Anolis sagrei: one gene and its partners. The protein of the gene in region 2 interacts with the protein of the main gene of each other region in a pairwise test. Links are inferred from orthologs where the notes say so. Each region holds a gene or a part of one and is shown on either strand. Other genes may lie near its edges.

Region 1 (3,755 bases), on a different chromosome or scaffold from region 2:
AAAAGCACAACAAGGCCAGGTGGAGAACAGAAATAAGGAGAAAGAACAGAGGATGTACGCTTTGAATATGAATAGTAAAGCCAACCAGATTGTTAGGAAGGAGGGAACGAATGGCACACCTCACCGGTGGAAAGAAACTCAGGTGCATCTACATTGTAGAATGGATGCAGTTTGACAACACTTGGGCTGCCATAGCTCAAGGCAGGTTTTATAGCATCAATGCTTTGGAATTATAGTTTGGTGGGGCATCGGCAAACTACAAGGCATAAAGACCTTGTAAAACGACAAGTGCCACGATTACACAGCACTTAAAAGAGAGATCAGGTTGCATTAACTCTGTAGTGTGGATGCAGCCAAGCTATTTATTACAAATGCCCGGAATATTTTCTCGCCGGTCATGCAAAGCAAATATTGTGAGATGTGAGCCATTCAGTTTCCTTGCCATCCTGGCCTTTCCCTTCACACCATATGATTCCAACCATCATTGAAATAATAATAATTCTATCTTTAGCTTGGATGACTTCAGGGCTACACAGGAAGATGATGGTGAAGGGTTATTGGAGATCGTTTGCTTTCAATTTGCTTGCCTGTCTTCCAAATTGAAGACCAACAGTAAAACTCTTCAGACAGTGACATGTGTGTGTGTATTTGTGTGTCTGTCTATCTATCCATCTATCTTCAAATAGTGAGAGATACAGATAGTGATTTAGATAGATGGTTCTCAACCTTTGGATCTCCAGGTGTTAGGAACTCTGGGAGCTGAAGTCCAAAACACCTGGAGACCCAAAGGTTGGGAACCACGGAGACAGATCAATATAGTGATATCTATATAGGTAGATATCTTCAGACAGTGCAACAAATATATAGAAATAGTGATATATATATATATATATATATACACACACACACATATATAATTCACACACATACAAATAAATATATTATGTGTGTATATGATCTATGATCTATACATTACAAATATACATAATATTACTGTACAAACACACACATATATTTATATTATATTTATATTTATATATATTTATATATATTTACATATATATATCTCCTCTGAAATTTTTAATGTTTTTAAAATTATTACTAATTTTAACATTTTTTAGTCTTGTTATATTAGTTGAGTTAAAATGTAATGTTAGGTAAATGTAAAGGTTTCCCCCTGACATAAAGTCCAATTGTATGTGACTCTGGGGGTTGGTGCTCATCTATATTTTTAAGCTGAAGAGCCAGCAATGTCTGTAGACACCTCCAAGGTCTTGTGGCCAGCATGACTGCATGGAACACCATTACCTTCCTGCCAGAGCAGTACCTATTGTTATATATAGATTTGCATGTTTTCGAATTGCTAGGTTGGCAGAAGCTGGGGCTAGCAGCGGGAGCTCACTCCACTCCCCAGATTTGAACCGGCGAAGAAGAAGAAGAAGAAGAAGAAGAAGAAGAAGAAGAAGAAGAAGAAGAAATCCAGCATAGAGATCTCATTTGCTGTGACATACTGTGGTTTTGTGTCAATTATTATTATTATTATTTTATTTTTCTACCCCGCCTCCATCTCCCCGAAGGGACTCAGGGCGGATTACATGGGGCAATGCCCAGACAACGTAAAGTTAAAAAGTAGAACAATAAAATATAAAACAGCATAAAAACAATATCATCATAAACAATAAAAGCAAACATCATAAGCAACTACGTAAAGGTAAAGGTAGTCCCCTGACATTAAGTCCAGCCATGTCTGACTCTGGGATGTGGTGCTCATCTCCATTTCTAAGCCAAAGAGCCAGCGTTGTCCGTAGACACCTCCAAGGTCATGTGGCTGGCATGACTGCATGGAGCGCCGTTACCTTCCCGCCGGAGCAGTACCTATTGATCTACTCACATTTGCATGTTTTCGAACTGCTAGGTTGGCAGAAGCTAGGGCTGACAGCGGAAGCTCACACCGCTCCCCGGAATCGAACTTGCGACCTTTCGATCAACAAGCTCAGCAGCTCAGTGCTTTAACCCACTGCGCCACCGGGGGCTCCAAAGTAGATACCTCTAATCTCATTTTTTGGGGGAGGGGATCAATATGCAAAACAAGTTAAGGGATAGGTTGGTCAAGAAGGTGGATAGAACAAGTAGTAGAATAGGAATAGAGCAATTATAACAGGATCGATCGTTATGATGTTTATTGTTATAATGTTATTCTTTTAACTTGTTTTTAACTCTTTTTATCATGTTTAAGTATTGTATTTGCTTTGTTAACCGCTCTGAGTCGCCCTGAGGGCTGAGAAGAGCGGTATACAAATATAGTAAATAAATAAATTATAGCTTAGCTTTAAAAATATAGTAATCAAATATAGGAACTGAGTTCAGGTCATGGTTAGGAGCCATCTATCCCAATAAGGCACAGATCCCAATAAGGTGGCCTTCTGCAGCTGGCAGATGGTGATTTTGTCAGCGCTGATTGTTTTTAAGTGCAGGCCAAGGTCTTTAGGCACTGCACCCAGTTTATTATTATTATTATTATTATATCATACACACAGATACATATATATGATGTGTGTGTGTGTATAATTATATCATATGCACAGACACACATATATAGATATAGTGATATCCATCTGTATATTAAGGAGGTAGATTTCCTCTTACCCTGCAGATTTTCCTCTTGGTGCAACCCAGGCGCCCCGCTAGACGACATGGCTTCTGGGACGAGACGTTTCTATTTGTGATCTCTTTCTAGAGCTTTCCGATTTGGCGGCTGTAGTTCTGCCCTGAGGCCAGAGATAGTAGCAGCAGCAGCTCCCAGCTGGCCAACTCGCAGGGAAATGGTCCCCCTCTGGTACTGTTATTGTTGCTACTGCTGCTGATCCCAGTGTTCTGAAGATCGTGACGTCACAGGAGAAAAGGACGCTCCTGATTGGCTGCCCAGGCCATTCTTCGCCACGCCCCCCTCGGTGAACCAGGAACGCTCTTGCGTCCCGAAGGCAGAAAGTGGGTTAGGGAAGGAATGACCGCGTCGGTCATCAGAGTGTTAGGGAGGAGGAGCTCTGCGCATGCGCAGTGCGAATGTTATCTAGCCTTTTGAAAGGGAGGGTTTCTTTCCAGTCGAACCAAGAACCAGGTAGCAAAACTAGATAGTAAATATAATAGAATCGGTTTAGAGAGGAGCATATTATGCATAAATTAGCATACTGCAGTCAGAGAAGAGAACAATGGGCCCTTGCAGACAGGTGCTATATCTATCCCAGGATCTGATCCCAAGTTTTCTGCTTTAAACTGGATTATATTATATTAGGGGACTCAGAGCGTCTTACAAGTTATATGTACATACAATATTATTAGCATTGCACAATATTATCATTATACATTACTATATTGTACTATACCCTTATACTGTAATATTATATTATATTATATTAATATTATTAGTATTTCATTGTATTACACTATAATATTAGCAATATTATATGTACAATATAACAGCAATGGCTCCCAAAGTGACCCATTTAAAGTGGGATGTGTTATTGCCCCAACTTTACTCTCCATCTTCATCGCTATGATACTTCACCTTGTTGATGGGAAGCTTCCCACCAGGGTGGAAATCATCTATCGGACAGATGGCAAGCTGTTTAACCTCAGCAGACTGAAAGCCAAAACCAAAGTTACAACAACATCTGTTATAGAACTCCAGTATGCTGATGACAATGTCATCTGTGCACATACAGAAGAAGATCTACAAGCCACTCTAAACACCTTCG
Region 2 (3,755 bases):
AGGAGACTATTAACAACCATTAAATGAAATATAGAAGCCCATTGTAAGCTATCTTAGTTATGATAGATTGTTTGATGCGGTGGTTCAGACAGTCTAAATTTGAAATACAGGGTTAGTCAAAATGCATAGGCCAATAAGCCATTCAATTGAATGGCTTATTGGCCTATGCATTTTGACTAACCCTGTATAACTTCAAGAGTTGATCTATCAATCATAGAAGTATGTTCTGTGAGCGATTTAGGCATTTGGCTTTGTGAGCATAGAAAGGATATATGTGGCAGGGGAAACTTTTACAATAACCACCCTTATCTTTTAGAGAGAAAGTCCTTTTCTCTTCAGTTTAGATATATCCTTGTGCACTTGAATGCTATCTCTATTCTTTCTACCATTTCCTTACAAGATAGATATTTTTAAAACCCTTCAGCTTTCATTCAAATTACAATGAATTCTGTTAGTAAATGGTTTTGGAATTCCTGGCACAGAAGTTTTTGTAGTTTTGATGTGAAGTGGGTATTTATAGACTCTAAAAAATTTACAATAATTCAATATTGTGTTATCCTCTTGATATTTGTGTAGTTTTCTGTGTATGCATTTTAAAAAAGTCATTTGAGTTCACTGGATGCTCTTCACTTTCTACTTTTTACTTCTTTTTTTTTACTTTTTACTTTTTACCAGTGGTTCTCAACCTTCCTAATGCTGCGGCCCCTTAATACAGTTCCTCATGTTGTGGTGACCCCAAACCATAAAATTATTTTCATTGCTACTTCATGACTGCGGTTTTGCTACTGTTGTGAATTGTAATGTAAATATCTGATATGCAGGACGTATTTTCATTCACAGGATGAAATTTGGCACAAATATCCAATATGCCCAAATTTGAATACTCGTGGGGTTGGGATTTGGGATTGATTTGCTCATTTGGGAGTTGTAGTTGCTGGGATTTATAATTCACATACAATCAGAGAGCATTCTGAACACCACTAATGATGGAACTGAACCAATCTTGGCACAGAGAACTCCCATGACCAACAGAAAATACTGGAAGGGTTTGGTGGGCATTGACCTTGAGTTTTGGAGTTGTAGTTCACCAACATCCAGAGAGCACTGTGGACTCAAACAATGATGGATATGGACCAAATTTGGCACGAATAATCAACATGCACAAATGTGAACACTATTGGAGTTTGGGGAAAATAGACATTTGGGAGTTGCAGTTGCTGGGATGTATAGTTCATCTACAATCAAAGAGCATTCTGAACCCCACCAATAGGGCCAAACTTCCCACACAGAACTCCTATGACCATCAGAAAATACTGCATTTTTATGGTCTTTGGCGACTGCTCTGATACCTCCCTCGCAAACCCCCCAGGGGTCCCGACCCCCAGGTTAAGAAACGCTAAACCTTCCCAAAGTCATCAAAAAATATGAAATGTCCTCCCAAGTGCTATTTGGACTGGTGCTTGCTCAGTACATAGCTTTCCAGCCCTACCTTTCCAAAACAATCCCACAGGTGAGCAGAAAATCTGAAACTAACAATCAGAAGTGAACTTCTGGTCATTTCTGGGATCTATTTTCAGGTGATTTGGTATCAAAATATAGCCATGTCAAGACAAACATGAACCCCTTATGTCCTCTGTGGGTACCCACAATATCAGTCCACAGACAGCTTTCCCTTTAAGTATGCAACAGGAGAGGGCTTGTAATTACTCAAGTTTCAGAAATTTTCCTGAGAGCAAAACTGGACATGATGGCAAAATGATGAGCATCATGTTATAGTTACCCTCTGGTTAACCATTGTAATTCCAGGAACTGGTTTTGCTAGTTCCCCTGATAAACAAGTCTTGGAGATCCAGAAAACCAGATTTTCATGAAATGCCCAGAGCTCCAGGAAGGAGTTAAGAGGAAGTACGGTATATTCAGCTATATTGTTACTGCAACCTTGGATTTAGGCTTCAGCTTCTCATTGTGTCCACACACTACTTACTTCAACAAGCTCAACCTTTAACATATTGAAATAATTGTGACACATTCAAGGCATCATATCAATGACTCTAGTGGGAAATAATACAGTCAACATAATAGTGACTGACCTGCTGTACGTGGGGGGATACCAACTGTGACAATTAATGCAATGGCAGCAATGATAACGGCAAGTATAATAAAACCAATGGCAGATGCACAGACGCATCTCCGAGTGCAAGGGACGCATTGACAAGACTCCTTGCAGCAATCTCGCTGGTCACGTATGGTACCTGCCATGGAGAGAGGCATTAAAGAGCAAATAAAATGCAATATTTTACTACAAAATCTGCAAGCAGAAACCAGCTTTTACCAACCATTGACTAAACCTCAATAGAAAAAAAAGCCACTTTGGTTGTTACTAATTCTCAAAGTTATTCCATACAACCATACCAATTATTTATGCCCAAAGTTTTCTGCTTTTGCCACACTTATCAACCCATTACTAATGTGATTTTAAGTAATTGTTTTTAATTTATATGTTTTAATCATGTGATTTTAATGTATATGTTGTTTTATTTTTATATGTACTTAAGGCATCAATTTGTGCCTCTCTTGTAAGCCACCCTGAATCTCCTTTGGGGTGAGAAGGGCAAGATATAAATGTCGTAAATAAATACATAAATGTTTGGGGGGGGGGGGAGTTTCAGATATATCTAGGTCTTTCGCACCGTACCAATGGTGTCGTCTAGATGTTCTGGAATTTAGCTCACAGAAATCTTAACAACTGGCCAAGCAGGCTGAGGCTTCTGGGCATTGACCCTCCCCCAACATCTGGATGAATAAAGGCTGGGGATCTATGCATAAAATCATTAAAGCACTATGATTCCATTTTAACTGCTATAACTGGGATTTGCAGTTTAGGGACTGGTACAAATTAACCACTGCCCCAGTGGTGCAGTGAGTTAAACTGCTGAACTTGCTAATCACAAGGTTGGCGGTTCGAATCCGGGGAATGGGGTGAGCTCCCACTGTTAGGCCCAGCTTCTGTTGAACTAGCAGTTTGAAAACATGCAAATATGAGTAGATCAATAGGTACTGCTTCGGCGGGAAGATAATGGTGCTCCATGCAGTCATGCTGGCCACATGACTTTGGAGGCATCTACTGTCAACACCGGCTCTTTGGCTTAGAAATGGGGATGAGCACCACTCCCCAGAATTGGACGCGACTAGACTTAAGGTCAGGTGAAACCTTTACCTTTAATTATGAATTATTATCAGCAAGAGCACAGTAGTACCTAACCACCAAATGGAGATGTGTACTTAGTTTTCTGGCTGAGAATTATATGTAAACTGTAAATCCCAGGAGTATTTAAAATCATTGGGGGGGGGGGGGGGTGTTAAGTGGAATAATAGTGCTGTAATACTGTCATCTGAAGTTGCCCTTAGTTTAATTTTTTCCAACATCAAAAAATACGTAAAATCAATTTGGTAAAAAAAGTTTAATATTGACATGTTCATAGAGAACAGCTGATATTTTACAAATCTCATCAGATGATAACATTACAATTTGTCATGAGTTGACTCCAGTAAAGCTATCTTTAATCATTTAAATGTCAATGTGCAACTAAACTATTTAACCATCTATTTCCTGCTCTGGCAGTTACTCAACAAAATGTCTAGAATTGATCTTTTTGAAAATCTGTCTCTTGAAAACTGTTTTTAAGTGCAGGTGCCAAAGACAGAACCTGAGGACCATGGCATGCATCCCATACTTTACAGTGCTGGTCCCTTTC
Region 3 (3,755 bases), on a different chromosome or scaffold from region 2:
TACTCCGAACTCAAGAATGGAAAACGGAATGTTGGAGGACAGGAAAAGAGATTGAAAGATGGGCTCAAAGCCAACCTTAAAATCTCTGGCATAGACACTGAGAACTGGGAAGCACTGGCCCTTGAGCGCTCCAGCTGGAGGTCAGCTGTGACCAGCAGTGCTGCAGAATTTGAAGAGGCACGAATGGAGGGAGAAAGAAAGAAACGTGCCAAGAGGAAGGCGCATCAAGCCAACCCCGACCGCCTTCCACCTGGAAACGAATGCCCTCACTGTATTGTCCTCCCAACCCCGCTCTATTCCTGCGAAACGTGGACTGTCTACAGGCGTCACATGCAACTCCTGGAACGATTCCATCAGCGCTGCCTCTGGAAAATCCTGCAAATCTCTTGGGAAGACAAGCGGACAAACATCAGTGTGCTGGAAGAAGGAAAGACCACCAGCACTGAAGCGATGGTCCTCTGCTATAAACTCCGCTGGACCGGCCACGTTGTCTGGATGCCCGACCACCGTCTCTCAAAGCAGTTGCTCCACTCCGAACTCAAGAACGGAAAACGGAATGTTGGAGGGCAGGAAAAGAGATTGAAAGATGGGCTCAAAGCCAACCTTAAAAACTCTGGCATAGGCACTGAGAACTGGGAAGCCCTGGCCCTTGAGCACTCCAACTGGAGGTCAGCTGTGACCAGCAGTGCTGCAGAATTTGAAGAGGCACGGATGGAGGGTGAAAGAGAGAAACGTGCCAGGAGGAAGGCGCGTCAAGCCAACCCCGACCACCTGGAAACCAATGCCTTCACTGTGGGAGAAGATGCGGGTCAAGAATAGGGCTCCACAGCTCTTACTGCCTATTACAGGGAAAACCAACTGATCCCTAATCCATCTAAAACACAGACATGCGCCTTTCACCTTAAGAACAGTCAAGCTCTGAGGATCACCTGGGAAGGAATCCCACTGGAGCATTGCAGCGCACCCAAATACCTGAGAGTCACTTTGGACCGTGCTCTGACCTACAAGAAGCACTGCCTGAACATCAAACAAAAAGTGGGCGCTAGAAACAACATCATACGAAAGCTGACTGCCACAACCTGGGGATCACAACCAGACACAGTGAAGACATCTGCCCTTGCGCTATGCTACTCTGCTGCTGAGTATGCATGCCCAGTGTGGAACACATCTCACCACACTAAAACAGTAGATGTGGCTCTTAATGAGACATGCCGATTATCACAGGGTGTCTGCGACCCACACCACTGGAGAAATTACACTGCCTAGCTGGTACTGCACCACCTGACATCCGCCGGGAAGTAGCAGCCAATAGTGAAAGGACCAAGGCAGAGACATCTCCAGCTCATCCCCTGTTTGGGTATCAGCCAGCACGTCAACGACTTAAATCAAGACACAGTTTTCTTAGATCTATAGAGATACTCGCTGGAACACCCCAGCAAGCGAGAGTCCAAAAGTGGCAGGCCCAAACCCAGCACTTCAATTCATGGGTGATACCAGACGAGAGACTCCCCCCTGGGCACACAGAAGACTGGGCAACTTGGAAGGCGCTGAACAGACTGCGCTCGGGCACCACAAGATGCAGAGCCAACCTTCAGAAATGGGGCTACAAAGCGGAATCCTCGACATGCGAGTGGGGAGAGGAGCAAACCACTGACCACCTGCTGCAATGCAACCTGAGCCCTGCCACATGCACAATGGAGGACCTTCTTGAGGCAACACCAGAGGCACTCCAAGGGGCCAGATACTGGTCAAAGAACATTTAGTCAACTACCAAATTTGCAAAATCTGTGTGGTTTTTTTTCTTTCTTTTTTTTTCTTTTTAATCTCTGTGTTTGTTTTGCTCTGTTAGAATTGTAATACAATGGTTGCTGATGACACGATTAAAAAAAAAAAGCCACCTACAAACCCACAAAAATAGTCATCAAGGAGGACCATCTTACTCGTCCAAGGAGGGATCGCCTAAGTAAGTAAGTCATCCCAAAAGGACTGCTGCTAGACCCAAGGGGTATTCTTCCTGTTCGATTCAGGTTATCTTTGACAGGCCCAGCCAATCCAGGCCGAGAGGAAGGTTCCCTCAGGCGGGGAGGCGACCCCTCGCCTTCCCCTGGGCTTGCCCTGACTTTCCCCTTCGCCCACCCGCTCCTACTCACTGTTGAGCCCGGCCTCGGCTGGCGTCGCTTCCCCTTCCCCCGGCGGGGGGTTGTTGTTGTTGTGAGGCGACTCCTGAGGAGGGGAGGACGACATGGCGGCCGGCGCGGGACTCTCCTTCCGTCTGGGTTGGCGAGAGAGAGAGGGGGACAACAACACCAAACAACACGGGGCGTGTGCTGCGCATGCGCCTGCCTTTTTTAAGCCAGCGCGCATGCGCCCGGGAGATCACGCCCCCCTTTTCCGCTTTTCCTCCCTGACGCTTCTCACGTCCGCGGAGAGGGGGTGTGGCCAGAGGACTGAGCCTTCAGTGCGCAGGCGCAAGAGTGTAGGCGGCTCCTTGCAGAGAAGGCAAGCGATCAAGGCACCCAAATAAGCCCACGCCCTGACTGCTCTCCTGAAGCCTAATATTATAATGCAATGCAGTATAATACTAATAACAATATAATTCTTAGGCTTGGGCAATCCATGGTTCTAAATGGTTCCAAAGTACTTACAAAACTAAAGTTCTGGTGGTGAAAATTTCAGAACTCTAACAAAACTCTCAAAATGTAATTATTATTTCATTATTGGTGATTTTAATGGCAGAACCAATTAGGAACTGCCATTTATTATGAAATTTTGAGAGTTTTGTTAGAGTTCTGAAATTTTCACCACCTTACTTACTTACTTAGGCGATCCCTCGTTGGACGAGTAAGATGGTCTTCCTTGATGACTATTTTTGTGGGTTTGTAGGTGGCTGTGGAGCCCTCTTCTTGACCCACATCTCCCACAGTGAGGGCGTTGGTTTCAAGGTGGAAGGCGGTCCTGGTCGGGGTTGGCTTGATGCGCCTTCCTCCTGGCACGTTTCTCTCTTTCACCCTCCACTCGTGCCTTTTCGAATTCTGCAGCACTGCTGGTCACAGCTGTCCTCCAGCTGGAACGCTCAAGGGCCAGGGCTTCCCAGTTCTCAGTGTCTATGCCAGAGTTTTTGAGGTTGGCTTTGAGCCCGTCTTTCAATCTCTTTTCCTGCCCGCCGACATTCCATTTTCCATTCTTGAGTTCGGAGTAGACCAACTGCTTTGGGAGGCGGTGGTCGGGCATCCGGACAACATGGCCGGCCCAGCGGAGTTGATGGCGGAGGACCATCGCTTCAATGCTGGTGGTCTTTGCTTCTTCCAGCACGCTGACGTTTGTCCGCTTGTCTTCCCAGGAGATGTCATTTCATCACCAGAACTTTAGTTTTGTAAGTACTTTAGAACCATTTAGAAGCATGGATTGCCCAAGCTTAATAATTATATATTTATATGTCATGTAATATTACTCATAGTATTACAATATAATGGTATAGTACAATATAATATTACATTATTAATATAGTAATATTTAAATATATATATAGTAATATTTAATACGGCGCTCCATGCAGTCATGCCGGCCACATGACCTTGGAGGTGTCTACGGACAACGCTGGCTCTTCGGCTTAGAAATGGAGATGAGCACCACACCCCAGAGTCAGACATAACTGGACTTAATGTCAGGGGACTACCTTTACCTTTACCTTTACCTTTTTAAATATTTAATACTGATGTTGTACTATGCTAATACAATATATTGTATTTATACTA

What was found.
Region 1: the proteins of LDLRAD1 (region 2) and BNIP3 interact in binary tests that used the Homo sapiens proteins (3 or more experiments, as listed by UniProt). The two-hybrid records come from large-scale screens. The link is inferred for Anolis sagrei from reciprocal best matches to the Homo sapiens genes LDLRAD1 and BNIP3.
Region 3: the proteins of LDLRAD1 (region 2) and BNIP3L interact in binary tests that used the Homo sapiens proteins (3 or more experiments, as listed by UniProt). The two-hybrid records come from large-scale screens. The link is inferred for Anolis sagrei from reciprocal best matches to the Homo sapiens genes LDLRAD1 and BNIP3L.

The regions. Positions count from the first base shown.
Region 1 is NC_090023.1:191,285,319-191,289,073, reverse strand, and holds the start of BNIP3 (BCL2/adenovirus E1B 19 kDa protein-interacting protein 3), read right to left. Parts: upstream 2,928-3,755; 5' UTR 2,696-2,927; coding exon 2,647-2,695; intron 1-2,646. UniProt on the Homo sapiens protein: Apoptosis-inducing protein that can overcome BCL2 suppression. May play a role in repartitioning calcium between the two major intracellular calcium stores in association with BCL2.
Region 2 is NC_090024.1:172,568,634-172,572,388, reverse strand, and holds the start of LDLRAD1 (low-density lipoprotein receptor class A domain-containing protein 1), read right to left. Parts: upstream 2,260-3,755; coding exon 2,091-2,259; intron 1-2,090.
Region 3 is NC_090027.1:6,904,681-6,908,435, reverse strand, and holds the start of BNIP3L (BCL2/adenovirus E1B 19 kDa protein-interacting protein 3-like), read right to left. Parts: upstream 2,339-3,755; 5' UTR 2,245-2,338; coding exon 2,151-2,244; intron 1-2,150.